Oryzias latipes: one gene and its partner. The protein of the gene in region 1 interacts with the protein of each later gene in a biochemical or structural test. Links are inferred from orthologs where the notes say so. Each region holds a gene or a part of one and is shown in the gene's direction. Other genes may lie near its edges.

Region 1 (6,686 bases):
ATGTCTGATATTTTTGACAACAAATATGACGTACATGCCTCCTAATTAAAAAAAAGTGTATTTTCTATTGATGTGGGTTGTTGAATGACATGATGTATGTCCATCTTGATCTGTTTTAGCTAGTCGGAGGAAGAGAAGAGACTTGTGAGTTTGGATGCTAATGATGTGGATACAATTTTCCATTTGTAGGCTCAGAAACACTGCAGCCACAGCATGTGGAGCCGTGGAACAGTGTGCGTGTTACCTTCAACATTCCTCGGGATGCTGCAGAACGACTCCGACTGCTGGCACAAAACAATCAGCAGCAGCTTCGAGACTTGGGGATTCTCTCTGTGCAGATAGAGGGTAACAATCTTTTTTATGAAAATTATATATTTTTTAATTAAACCTCAATCATAATTGTGCTGGATTTTTTTCCGTGTCATTAATTTTAGGGGAAGGTGCCATCAATGTGGCCGTGGGACCAAATAGAGGTGCAGAAGTTAGAGTGAATGGACCAATGGTTGCACCTGGTCAAATGAGAATGGACAGTGGCTTTCCAGGCCAGCCTGGACCAGGTATGGATTTGCTGAACTAACCTCCCAAATGACTTCTAAAGGCATCATTTTGACAGTATTTCCTGTGATTGTAAACAGCTGTATGTACAATTAATCTAGTTTAGTTGTTACTGATTCATGACTGTCTTCAACCCTTAATATCAAGTTGTTACAAAAGTAAAAATAAAAACTTTGTTTTTTGTGTGCTCCTTTTGACCAGGAGGGTTAAGGATGCCTAATCCATCAATGGTTCCTACTGGACCTGGCATGGTTGGTCAGAATATGTTACCAGGCAGTGGACAGATGCATCCTCGCATCCAAAGACCACCTTCACAAACAGGTTCAGGTTTAGGTTTTTATTTTTCTTAAATGAGGCACATTGATGTCTATATATATATATGATCTGTATGATGACTTGGTGATAATGTCATAAAAGTCTAGTCTTCCTTATTCCATAGATGTGATGGATCCAATGATGCCAGGTATGTCCATCCAGCAACAGCAGCAGCAGCAGCAACATTTTCAGCACCAGCAGGCTGGTCTCCATGGCTCAGTCTCTATGCCTCCTCAAGCTGCCCATCACATGCAAGCTCTGCAGGCAGGCAGACAAATCAACCCTGCTGCATTGCAGCAACTACAGCAGCAGCAAGCCCAGCAGCAAGCTCAACTCTCCCAGCTTGGACCTCGACCTCCATTCAATCCTTCGGGTCAGATGGCTGCACCTCCTAACTGGAATCAGCTGCCCTCTGGCATCTTACCACCACCAGCAGCCCAAGGAGGTCCAGCTTGGAGAAAACACCCACCTCAGCCCCAGATGGTTCAAAGGCCACCCTCCCTAGCTACTGTACAGACCCCCAGTCATCCTCCACCCCCTTATCCGTTTGGCAGCCAGCAGGCTGGGCAGGTGTTCAATGCCATGGGACAGGGACAGTTACAGCAACAACATCAACCGGGAATGGGCCAGTTTGCTGCCCCTCAGCCTAAAGGCCAACAGGCTGGACCTGGTGGTGTCACAGGACTAACTCGCCCCCCTCCACCCCTTCCACAAACTTCTGGACCACAGGGCAACCTCGCAGCTAAGTCGCCTGGATCGTCTTCATCTCCTTTTCAGCAGGGCTCTCCAGGTACTCCTCCTATGATGGCTCAGAGACCCACAACTCCACAGGGTTTTCCTCAGGGTGTTGGTTCACCAGGAAGAGCAGCCCTCAGCCAACAGGGCAACATGCAGCAAGGATTCATTGGAATGCCCCAGCATGGACAACCGGGGGGCCAAATTCACCCAGGTTAGTAACTCTGGTTAGTATTTTGTTGTTCCAATGGAAAAAAAAACAACCTGTCAAAGAAGTTCACTTTTTCTTGATCATCTTTATCCAAAATGACCATTGTAATCATCAATTCTAGGCATGGCAAAGCGTCCCATGGGTTTTCCAACATCTAACTTTGTTCAAGGTCAGGTGAGTGTTAGCACTCCAGGAGCTCCTGGTGGAGGAGCAACTCAGCAACTGCAGACCAACCAAGCAATGTCTCAAGCAGGTAAAACTTCTACAGATCTCTAAACAAAAAGAAAAATGCTTGTTTTATGATGTAGAAAGTATCTGACTTTACTTGCTGCAGGTAGTGGCTTAAATGCTGTCTGCTCAGAAACTGAGGGTGGAATTCTCATAGGGAAGTTTCGATCAACCCAGAATGGGAATTACTATCAGAATAGCTCAGACTGGTTAGAGAATTTGACATGGCATCACATTTGTATCACATTTTCACTTACTTCACTTCGTTTTCTGTGCTGTAGCACATCAAATGGTACAACACACTTCATGCAACAATTCCCATTTTGCAACATCATGTTGCACAATTGAGCATGTTGTCTACCATGTTTGATGCCTTAAATAATTACCTAGTTTGAAGCGATGCGGCAGTTGCAGCTCATTCCAATTCATTCTTAATTATGCTTTGTCAACACTTAATTTGCTATTAATAGCTTTAGCCTTCACACTGAAAGGCTCGTTCTTGTTTTTTCTTTAACTTCACTCATTTTAAAATGTTTATCTGGTATGTCAGTGTCACATTAAGTTTATTTAAGATTACAGGTTTTCTATTTAACAAAAGACACGTTAATGTTAAGCTAAACACTTGGTTCATCTAATGAGTTGGAGCAAAGTAAGAGTTCTCAACAGAAAATAGAAGAAAAAGGGGAAAACAAGGATTTTAAATCAATCGAAGAAGTCTACATTCAAAAGCTGGAATCCTAAAGCCCCACTCATATTTAGAGCCATTGTAAAAGTGTTCCCAGTGATATTTTAATTACGATTTTCAAAAAACCTGTGTTGTTTTCTTGAACATAGTGTCTGCAGAGCAGCACTAGTTAATTAGAAGTTTGCCTCAGAGTTGTGGGTGGGACTGTTGGTGCAGAGCAAACGCCCTCCCACTTCCCGTCACCCATCTGTTTACCACGCTCTCCCACTACCTTACAGCCCCTTACATCCCTAACCTGACAGTACTTGTGCAACAAAAATGACGAGCAATATTGGAGCCATCCAGCCGTACAGTTTAGAGCCAGATGCCAGTTCAGACAAGGAAAATGAAGACGTACATGGATCTGTGGTTTATAAGTAGATGCATCAGAATGGAGAGGAGCAGGGAACTTGTGACCTGCCAATAGGAGCTTCTATGTCACAATAAGCTCGTAATCAAACAGCAGTTTTTTGGTCTGCTCCTCATTTACAACAGTTTGAAAAAAGATACCCAGAAATGCATTTTTGAGATTAATTTTCTTTTTTATATATGGCCTCCATCATGAGAAAAAGGTCAAAAGCAAATGCATTAAACACCAAAAACACAATATTTTATTTGAGTAAGTCTTTAACAAATGAATTGAAGCTTGTCTCTGTGTGTCACTTGGGATCCATTTTTCTTAAATACACCAGTCTTCAATAATTATAGTAGTCTATTTTTTTCTTTTATTAGCAAACCCCTTTTTATTAGCTTTATATGTTTTTGTTGAGAACTATTTATAATTTCAGAATTAACACCATGATATATGCAACCATTTATGCTATCCTTTGTATTTTACATCAGGGCCTCAACCATCACCTTCCACTCCCAGCTCAATGCAGGGACCACCTCATGTTCAACCCAATGCCATGGGTGTGCAAAGCAGCATGGCAGGTCCAACCCCATGCACAACTGCTGGACCTAGTATGGGTCAGCAGCAACCTGGCCTCCAGACCCAGATGATGGGCCTCCAGCATCAGGCCCAGCCTGTGTCCTCCTCCCCCAGCCAGATGGTACAAGGTCAAGGTGGAGGTCAGACTGTCCTTTCAAGGCCTATCAATCAAGGCCCGAGAGGTGGAATGACCCCACCTAAGCAAATGATGCCACAGCAAGGCCAGGGGGTGATGCATGGGCAGGGTCAGATGGTTGGAGGCCAGGGGCACCAGGCCATGCTCCTGCAACAGCAGCAGCAAAACTTGATGATGGAACAAATGGTTGCCAACCAGATGCAAGGAAACAAGCAGGCATTCGGAGGCAAGATTCCAGCTGGGGTTATGCCGGGCCAGATGATGCGAGGCCCATCCGCAAATATTCCTGGTAACATGGGGCAGTTCCAGGGACAGGTGCCCCCACAGCAGATGACTCCACAGCAACAACAACAGATGGCTCAACTACAACAGCAACAGTTACAGCAACAACAGCACCAGTTGCAACAACATCAGCTACAACAACAGCAACACCATCAGCAGATCAGTCAACAACAACAGCCACAGCAGGCTCCCATCCCTAATAATCCTAATCAAACTATGGGTCTGCATGGGCAGCAGATGAGACTACCTGCTGGCCATCATCTCATCCAACAGCAGCTACAACAGCAGCAGCAGCTGCAGCAGCAACAACAGCAGAAACAGCAACAGGCAATGTTGCAACAACAGCAACAAGCAGCTCAGCAACACCAACATACCATTGGGGACCCAAATAGTGGCACAGGTGACTTGGGAGTCCAGCAAATGGTCCCAGACATGCAGGCGCAGCAGCAGCAAGGCATGATGGGTGGCCCTCAGCATATGCAGATGGGAAATGGCCACTTTGCTGGTCATGGCATGAATTTCAACTCTCAGTTCTCAGGTCAGATGCCAATTGGAGGGGCATGTGGACAGCAAGGTAGTTTTCCCGTCAATAAAGATGTTACACTGACTAGCCCACTGCTGGTCAACCTGCTGCAAAGTGACATATCTGCCAGCCAGTTTGGACCAGGAGGAAAGCAAGGTGCTGGTGGAGGAAATCCAGCTAAACCTAAAAAGAAGAAACCACCACGCAAGAAAAAACCCAAAGAGGGGGATGGACAACAACAAGTAGAGGGGCTTGGGTAAAACATGTTTTCTTCTTTCATCAGGTCCTGTGTCAACAGCATATTCTTTATTTAACCAAATAAACTTTTATTTTATCCTTATAGAGGTCTTGATGCTGCTGCTGGTATGGAAGATTCTGAATTGCCTAATCTGGGTGTGGACCAAGGTTTGGGTTTGGACAACGCTGGCCAGAAGCTTCCTGATTTTGCTAATAGACCTCCAGGTAGTCAAACTAACAAAACACTAAACTTAGTTCATTTCCTTGTTTTGTTGTTAAAACAACCAATATACTAAAATGCAAATGCTCTTTTGTTCTAAAAATTGTACATTTATCATAATTTATATCACTGATCTGTTTTATACTTCCAAGGGTTCCCTGGTCAACCTGGAGAGCAGAGGGTACTGCAACAAGCCCCCATGCAGTTTATACAACAACAACAGCAGCAGCAACAACAACAACAACAACAACAGATGCAGCACATGCAAATACAGCATCAAATTGCACAACAACAGCAGCAATTGCAACAACAACAGCAGCAAATGCAACAGCAACAACAACAACAGCAGCAGCAACAACAACAACAACAGCAGCAGCAGCAAATACAGCAACAACAATTGCAGCAACAGCAGCCGATGATGCAGATGCAGGGGCTCCAGAATGCTCAAGGATCACAGATGATGACAGGGCCACAAGCATCAGGTCAAGGTCAACCCCAGATGCACCCGCATCAGCTGCAGCAGCAGCAGCAATCTCAGCAGCCACACCTACAACAGCAGGTAGACTTTTGATTTGGTATTTTATCCTAGATTGTTTCTTTTAATTCAGGACGCACTTTAACCACCCGACTAAACTTTAATCTTAATTTCTTATCAAGCAACAGCAGCAGATGATGCTGATAAAAATGCAACAGGAGCAATCAAAAAATCGCATGCCCATCTCCACTGGAGGACAGCTTCCTCCTCGAGGAATGGGCAATCCTGCAGACATTCAAAGGCATCCCAGTTCACAGCAAAGCAGCATGCCTGTAATGATAAGCCTGCAAGGTCATGGCAGTGTACCACCATCCCCTGATAAACCCAGAGGGATGCCTCTGATGGTAAACCCACAGGTAAGGGGTGATTTTTAGTAGTACCATCATTTTCATATTCCCATCCCATCCTCTGATTCTCTTGGAGGAAATTTTAACGCAGATTATATTTCCTTAAATTTCTAGCTTGCAGGGGCTGCACGAAGAATGTCCCACCCTGATTTAGGGCCGGGGGCTCAAAGCTCTGGATCTGAGGAGGCTTCTGTAGGTGCCCACTCAAAACAAGACAGACAAGGGGGCTCAGAAATTGGTTTACAGCCAGGAAATGGGTCCCAACAAATTCCAACCAGCCAGGTCTCGAACACACACATGATAAAACAAGGGCCTGGTTCAACACAAATGCCTCAACACACAGGATCCAGTCCCCAACAGCAACTACCCACGCTGCCTCAACAAGCAGGGCACATGCCTGGCCATCATTTCCCCAATGTTCCTACAACTTCACAGAGTTCAAGGCCTAAAACTCCGAACAGAGCCAGCCCCAGACCTTACCACCATCCCCTCACTCCATCAAACCGTCCACCGAGCACTGAACCTTCTGAAATTAATCTTTCACCTGAGAGACTAAATGCTTCAATTGCTGGACTGTTTCCTCCAAAAATTAACATTCCTCTGCCTCCAAGGCAGCCAAACCTTAACAGGGGATTTGATCAGCAAGGGCTGAACCCAACAACTCTCAAAGCCATTGGACAGGCTCCACCCACCTTGACTTTAACAGG
Region 2 (6,686 bases), on another chromosome or scaffold:
GTTGTCCATTTCACTTCATCTGAATGCAGCATGCACTGTTGCATATTTCTCACTTTTCTGCAATCTGTTCCCTCATCTTCCTCAGGTTGGAATGAACTCCTCATTGCATCATTCTCACACCGTTCCATAGCAGTGAAAGACGGGATTCTGCTGGCGACGGGGCTGCACGTCCACCGCAACAGCGCTCATAGCGCCGGAGTCGGAGCCATCTTTGACAGGTGATTTACTTCTACCTTTCTAAACTTTGACACCGTTTCCGGCCCCATATTTTAAAGGCTTGTAGTTGTGATTACATTGGCTCCTAAGTCATCACACACAAATCCTGCTTGAGCTTTAACAAACTTTAATATTCTGCTTTATGACAGCATCTGCCATTTATGTTTTATTTAACAAAATATTACACTTTTACTTGAAGTTTTGAGCAGTGTCGGAACTATTGACTGAGTCCAGTGTAATAAATATGTGTACCAATGCGTATTGGAGCTCTCAAGGAAACTCTGACCTGCTCAGAAGATGTAAAAAACTCCATGCAAAGTTGAGTGAAGTCAGGAGAACTCAGGAACCACGCTGGTGACGTTTGACGTTCTGGGATAGCTAGCTGAAAAACAGACGTACTCTCCTCAGCATCATCAGTCTGAGCGGATTCAAGATGGAATGTTTTGGAAGTTACTGATATACTTTCTGTAAAATCTTTACCAAAAAATGCATATGCCTTTTTTTAAGACACAATAATTTCAAATGTTGAGCAACACATGAAAAAAGAATTGATGTGACATGATCTTTCAGTAGAGAAATCTCTGCTGAAGTTTTTTTAGGAGTTGATGTTGGTCATTATCAAATAGAAAATGATACATATTTTTGTGTTTATAATTGTTTTTAAAATTTTAAGTTAATAAAAAAAATCAGCTAATTTTTTTTCTTCATTAAGATACCTGGCTGGCTTCTTAAATAAGAAAAAGGTTTTACTTTTATTTTTTTTACTCAAACATGATAATGGAAGCATCATGATGCGGGCTGGTGAGTCTGAAGAGTTGACCCAAAACCAACGCATTCAGTTCTTAACATTTTATCTTATATAGTAAAACCACAAAATCGCTGCCATAACCTCTGGAGAGTTGTGTGAAAATGCTGAAGTGACCCAGAATTGAACTGAACAATTAAGGATCTCTGATTATGGCCAGGCATTCCCAATCCAACCCAAACGGTTCTGCCAAGAACGTCGAAATTTCCAAAAGAAAACTGAGCCAAGCTCCTACAGTCATTGCCAAAACAATGGAAAAAGAAGTCCAAAATAAAACAAGCAAACAAAAAAGAAAAAGATTTCTGAGGTGTTTGCTTTATCGTACAAAAGTAAAACTTTGATGTGTTTGAGAGCAGAGCTGGAACCCTTTGATCTGCCCGGTAACTAGCATTTACAAGACCTATGCTATCTTTTCACTCAGTGTGGCAGAGATGAGGATTCAGGGTAGTGATTAGGCTTCATTACCTACTACCGTCTCTCTTTTGCCCATCCAAATGAAGAAACTAATGAACTCACACACTCCAGTCACCACTTCTGTCTTCCCTTTTTTTTCCTTGTTGCTCTTTTGGTTTGGAGCAAATTGAATTGTGCTGAATTAAGAGCAGCAATTGACCTGAGACTCCAAACGGGAGGGCAAGAAAGAAACGGACTAAGATGCAGTCATAGAAGGGGGAGCAGTTTGAGAGACACACCCACCAGTGATGCCATACAAACTGTCAGCTACTGAGCTCCATCCTTCATTTCCAAAAAAAGAGTAATAATAAATTATATTCAAAAAAGTCTATTTTTGAATTAGAGACATTTGCCGCATTAGCGTATTCACAGTACCTTGCTTGCAACACCTAAAAAAACAGACTGACAGCCCTAAACTAACATTAGTGTGACAATGTCAACTCCCACCTTCCTAGTAACACGTAAAAAAAACAGTTTGACGCTGCTACATGTTAGCTACGGTAGTTTATTCACAATAACACCCAGCCTTGCTTGCAACAGCACAACCAGAAATAATCCATATATAAGGCGCTCTGGATTATACGGCACACTGTCAATTATTGAAAAAAATTCAGACTTTTAAGGGCATTTTATTGTGCGGAAAATACCGTAGTAAATTTTGGCTTTTTAATTGGAAAAATCACAAAAAAATGAGATCAAACAGTTTTTAATGTTATAACAAAGATCAAACTTGTAGAAACAAAATGAAAACATTTCTTTTAAAGAAAAAAATCAAAGACAAATTCAAAACAATGTGAAAAATGTCTAAAAACCAAATAGCTAGCGGCGGCGCGCGCGAGTGCAGCGGCTCTCAGCTCTCCAGCATGGCTTTTTGTTCTATTGTTTGTATTTTATTTACTTTTGGATTTTTGCTACGCCGATTTTAAATACCACCGCCAGTAAAAGTTATGTAGCTTGTACATATGTATATTTTCAGTTAAACAGAATTTTATAATTCTTTAGAAGATTACCTATTTTTATTGTTTAAGCAGCTGGAGAGCACCGGAAATTTCGTTGTCACAAGTTTCTTGTGTAACAATGACAATAAAGGCTTTCCGATTCTGATTCTGATTCTGACTCTGATTCAATGTTCTAAGGATTTATTCAAAGGGTGTCACAATGATGTTTCAGAAATCTAGTTATGTTTGTTTTAAACCAAAAATGTCAAAGCTAAAAACTTTAATAAACCTTCATGTTCAATTTGGAATGAAACTGTACTAATGTGTGGCTGGGCATCATTCCTATATTATTCTACACAGTTGATGTGATTGTTCTTAGACTACTTAGGGCTAAAATGGATGCAAGCTTCTCCTGCAGCTCAGATTGGACCCTTTTAGGTAACTCCAGAAAACTCTCCAGCAAAGTCTACCACTTAAGGTCAAATGGCTTCCTGTGGTCATAGCTTTTCACGCTGGATGTTTGACATGACACGATAGCCGAGTGTTGAATTTTAATGAACCCCACATCTGACTTTTTCTTTCTTTCTTTTTGATGTCTTTTGCAGAGTTCTGACAGAGCTGGTGTCAAAGATGAGGGACATGCAGATGGACAAGACAGAACTGGGGTGCCTTCGAGCCATTGTTCTTTTCAACCCAGGTAACTGTGTTCGTATGGAAGATTTGTATATAGTCCCAGTCTGATCATCGCTAAAAGCTTTCCCAGTGGTTTTTTCATTATGATATTGTCATTTTTAGCCAAAATCCAAAAAACTGTTGCTTTCTAGGACATAGTTTCTGCAGAGCGATAGTAGTTGGACAGTAGTAGTTTGTCTCTGAGTTGTGGGCTGGGCTGTTAGTGCAAAGTAAGCCGTCCTCATTTCCCGTCACCCATTTGTTGAAACCCTTTCCTGCTAGCTTACAGCCCCTCACACCCCCAGCCTAACATTACCGATGCAACAAAAATGGCGAGCAAGACTAAAGATAAGAAAAATAGAAATAGGTGCAAGTTTACTCTTTTAGAGAGAAAAAAGTGGAGAACGCTACACCCTCTTTCCTCCTCCCTGAGTGATCCCAGGTGTCAAACCCACCTTTACCTCCTGTTTTTCTGCAGCTGTTGGAGTGGAGGCTCTCCTTAACTCTGCTCTTATCAAAACCCAAGACTCATTTTAGTGCCGTGAAAAAAATCTCCCTGCAAAGATTCAACCATGAATTTAGAAAATAAGATAAACACCCTTTGAGTGAGAGCTTCGTGAGGCCTTTGCAGATATGCTTAACACCCCCTCCACACACACACACACACACACACACACACACACACACACACACACACGCACACCCCAATCTTCTAAACTGCACATACTGTCCAGGCCACATGCAGGCCCATTGGCCTCCGGTTCACTTTTCCATCCGGATCCTCCTTAATTAGCGGTTTGCGAGACTGGTCTGACTGGGGGAGCAGAGGGGTTGGGGTGTGGAGGAGAGGAGGTGCCAGTGAGGCTAAAAGGGCCCTCAGTCCTTCCTTTCCCACACTGGCGGATCTAGTCCAGCCATTAAGAGCAAATGTTCAATAATTGCTGGTCGATCGCACAAGGCTTTGTTCATCAGAAATGTTAATAAATGATGTGTTTGTTTTGTGAATCAAAGGCGCGTCCTTCACTGAAGCTTAAATTAGCACAGCCTTAATTGAGGTAACCCAGAATGCGGTGACATATGTTCATGTAGAGCTGTGAGGTTAAAACTCAATGAGTGAGCTGTAACCCCCCCTCCCTCCCCCCAACGTTGTGGGGCACAAAAAAATAAATTCATTAAAGCTTTTATTTACCAAATAAAAAAATGAGTGTTGCAGCTGTCTTTTAGTTTTCTTTTTAATATTCACGCTTGTTTGTAGGTCATTAGTAAAAGAATATACATGACAAATAATGTAGTCATTTTGGTATTATTTTTCTAACCTAAATATATATCTGTCATGCAGTTATCCCTCTTTTAAACATATCTAAATACATTAATAATTGATGTCTTTCTTACTTTTAAAATGAGAAGCTGTACAAATTGCAAGACACTGATACTAAAACACGGTTTTTAAAAATGAGTCCTTGCAAAAAAGATGGAAACGTTTTTTCTTTTTTTAAATGTTGGTCAAACATCTTGGAGTTCAGCGGGATGGAGGATGTTTTCAGGGTTCTTACAGAATTCCCATTGAAGATCGGCATGGCTTTTTTGTAACCTCATTTTGGATTTGATTCAAATAAGAGAAGAATTGCACTACAAAGTTCCCTCGTTTATCTTGGGAGTAACGTTCTGAAATCCATGATGAAGGAATATAGATGTTTTACGGCTGTAAAACCCCTCACTATAGACTTTTCTCAGACAGACATGAACATTTTTAAAATTCTCTGCCCTGTTTAAACTCTCAAAGTTCAAACTTTCATTGAAAATAAGTCCAGTTATTGAATGAAAGCAAAGATCAGTTTGATGGAAAATGTGTGTAGATTTGGTAAGTATTCTGTACAGGAGACACTGCATGGAGGAGACTGATTGACAGGTCAACTGCGCTGTTTAAAACAAAGCATACAAAATGCTCTAAAACAATTGGGTGGGCTGCATTAATTTTTTTTTACATTTTGAAATCTTTCAATAAAATTAACAGCAAATATTGTAGATTGTGGATTTGATGGATCAATATAGATTCTCTAAGAAAAGATTCAGCCTAAGTTTTACCCACTTTGGTGACTCTTATTTCCGTTTCTGTGTCTCTGCAGACTCTAAAGGTCTTTCTAACCCTGGTGAAGTAGAAGCCTTGAGAGAGAAAGTCTACGCATCCTTAGAGGCCTACTGCAAACAAAAGTACCCTGAGCAGCCGGGCAGGTGAGATGATCCCAAACGCCACTGCAGAGGTCTCTGCGGTGGGTTGCAGGGTTTAAGAGTCTGCTACTTATTTCCTAAGAAGCCCCTTCAATCTTGAGTCACAAAAATCACTAAATATGATACTACCTCCTTTTTTTTGCAATAGAATAATCTCAAACAGATGAAAACTCAGAGTTGTTGCAGGGTCTGCGTCAATCACGGTGTCTCTGTTTTGTGTTCGTCAGGTTTGCCAAACTGTTGCTGCGGTTACCGGCGCTGCGCTCCATCGGCCTCAAGTGTCTGGAGCACTTGTTCTTCTTTAAGCTTATCGGGGACACGCCCATTGACACCTTCCTCATGGAGATGCTCGAAGCACCGCATCAAATGACATAATAACCGACAGCCCTGCTCTCTTCCTGTCCCCTTCACCCCCCTTTTTAAGTCTTCATCAAGGGACAGACATAAAGACTGTGGATGGAGACCCACCCTCTATCTCCATCCCCTCTACCGCTCTTGGATGGGTCTCAAAACCTAAACTGCATCACGCTAAAGGGTTTGTTTTATACTTTGTAAAAAAAGCTATAAATAAGAAATATATATAATGAAAATAGGTCAAATCCAAACAGCAACAAGAATGACATCAGAATGACATCAAAGGACTAGGAGGAGGACAGGTGGTGGACAAGCAGCCGTATTGAGCCTTTGTTTTCCATCTCTGCTACCAGCCTGACAAGAAAAAGCAGTAAAACCGGCAGGTATGCTCACCTGAATGATGTCACTTTTGACGAGGACAATCCTAGACTCTCCACGGGATGTTTTGACTCGGACCTTAGTGGGCCCTGGTTTTCGGGAGGAGACACACGCTCCGACCGACCGACCACTGCTGAAGGGTCAGAGGTGGTCTAACGAGACTGCAAATGCTCACAAAGCTCAGGTCTCCGCCCAGCAAATCCAACTATGTCTTACTGTATCAGCACTGTGCAAGGATGTCTGAGTAGTCCACTAACTAACCCTTAATAACTGACGGAGAATCGTCTGCAATGTACAATCCATGCGGCTCTGCATGCTGCTCCACTGGCTTTACGCTACAGCGGCAGGCACAGGGACTACTTTTGTCCGAACCGTTTTCTGTGCAGCGCATTTAGTTGTCTGAAAAGTGATCCTTAATATCGGTTCTTCTCATTTCCTGTGAACACACCAGACTGCACATTCAGAAATCCAAAAATCACCTCATATCTACCTGTACGGAAAGTTACAAGTGTATACAGGATGTTTGTTTGTTTTTAGTTTTCACTGTAACATTTACCTCTGTGTCCAAACCTTTAGCATCCCCTCTATGGGAGAAGCGCTTGTCTGCTGCAGCAGAGTCACTCTTTTGTTTGTTTGTCTTT

The links. The genes of interacting proteins can lie anywhere in the genome.
Region 2: the proteins of ncoa6 (region 1) and rxra form a complex in vitro, tested with the Homo sapiens proteins (5 studies listed by BioGRID). The link is inferred for Oryzias latipes from reciprocal best matches to the Homo sapiens genes NCOA6 and RXRA.

What each region holds. Positions count from the first base shown.
Region 1 is NC_019865.2:14,776,710-14,783,395, forward strand, and holds part of ncoa6 (nuclear receptor coactivator 6), read left to right. Parts: intron 1-189; coding exon 190-345; intron 346-434; coding exon 435-557; intron 558-756; coding exon 757-876; intron 877-994; coding exon 995-1,819; intron 1,820-1,937; coding exon 1,938-2,069; intron 2,070-3,611; coding exon 3,612-4,896; intron 4,897-4,983; coding exon 4,984-5,102; intron 5,103-5,249; coding exon 5,250-5,656; intron 5,657-5,754; coding exon 5,755-5,988; intron 5,989-6,093; coding exon 6,094-6,686. UniProt on the Homo sapiens protein: Nuclear receptor coactivator that directly binds nuclear receptors and stimulates the transcriptional activities in a hormone-dependent fashion. Coactivates expression in an agonist- and AF2-dependent manner.
Region 2 is NC_019870.2:23,011,501-23,018,186, forward strand, and holds part of rxra (retinoic acid receptor RXR-alpha), read left to right. Parts: intron 1-85; coding exon 86-218; intron 219-3,017; coding exon 3,018-3,109; intron 3,110-5,210; coding exon 5,211-5,316; intron 5,317-5,540; coding exon 5,541-5,688; 3' UTR 5,689-6,686. UniProt on the Homo sapiens protein: Receptor for retinoic acid that acts as a transcription factor.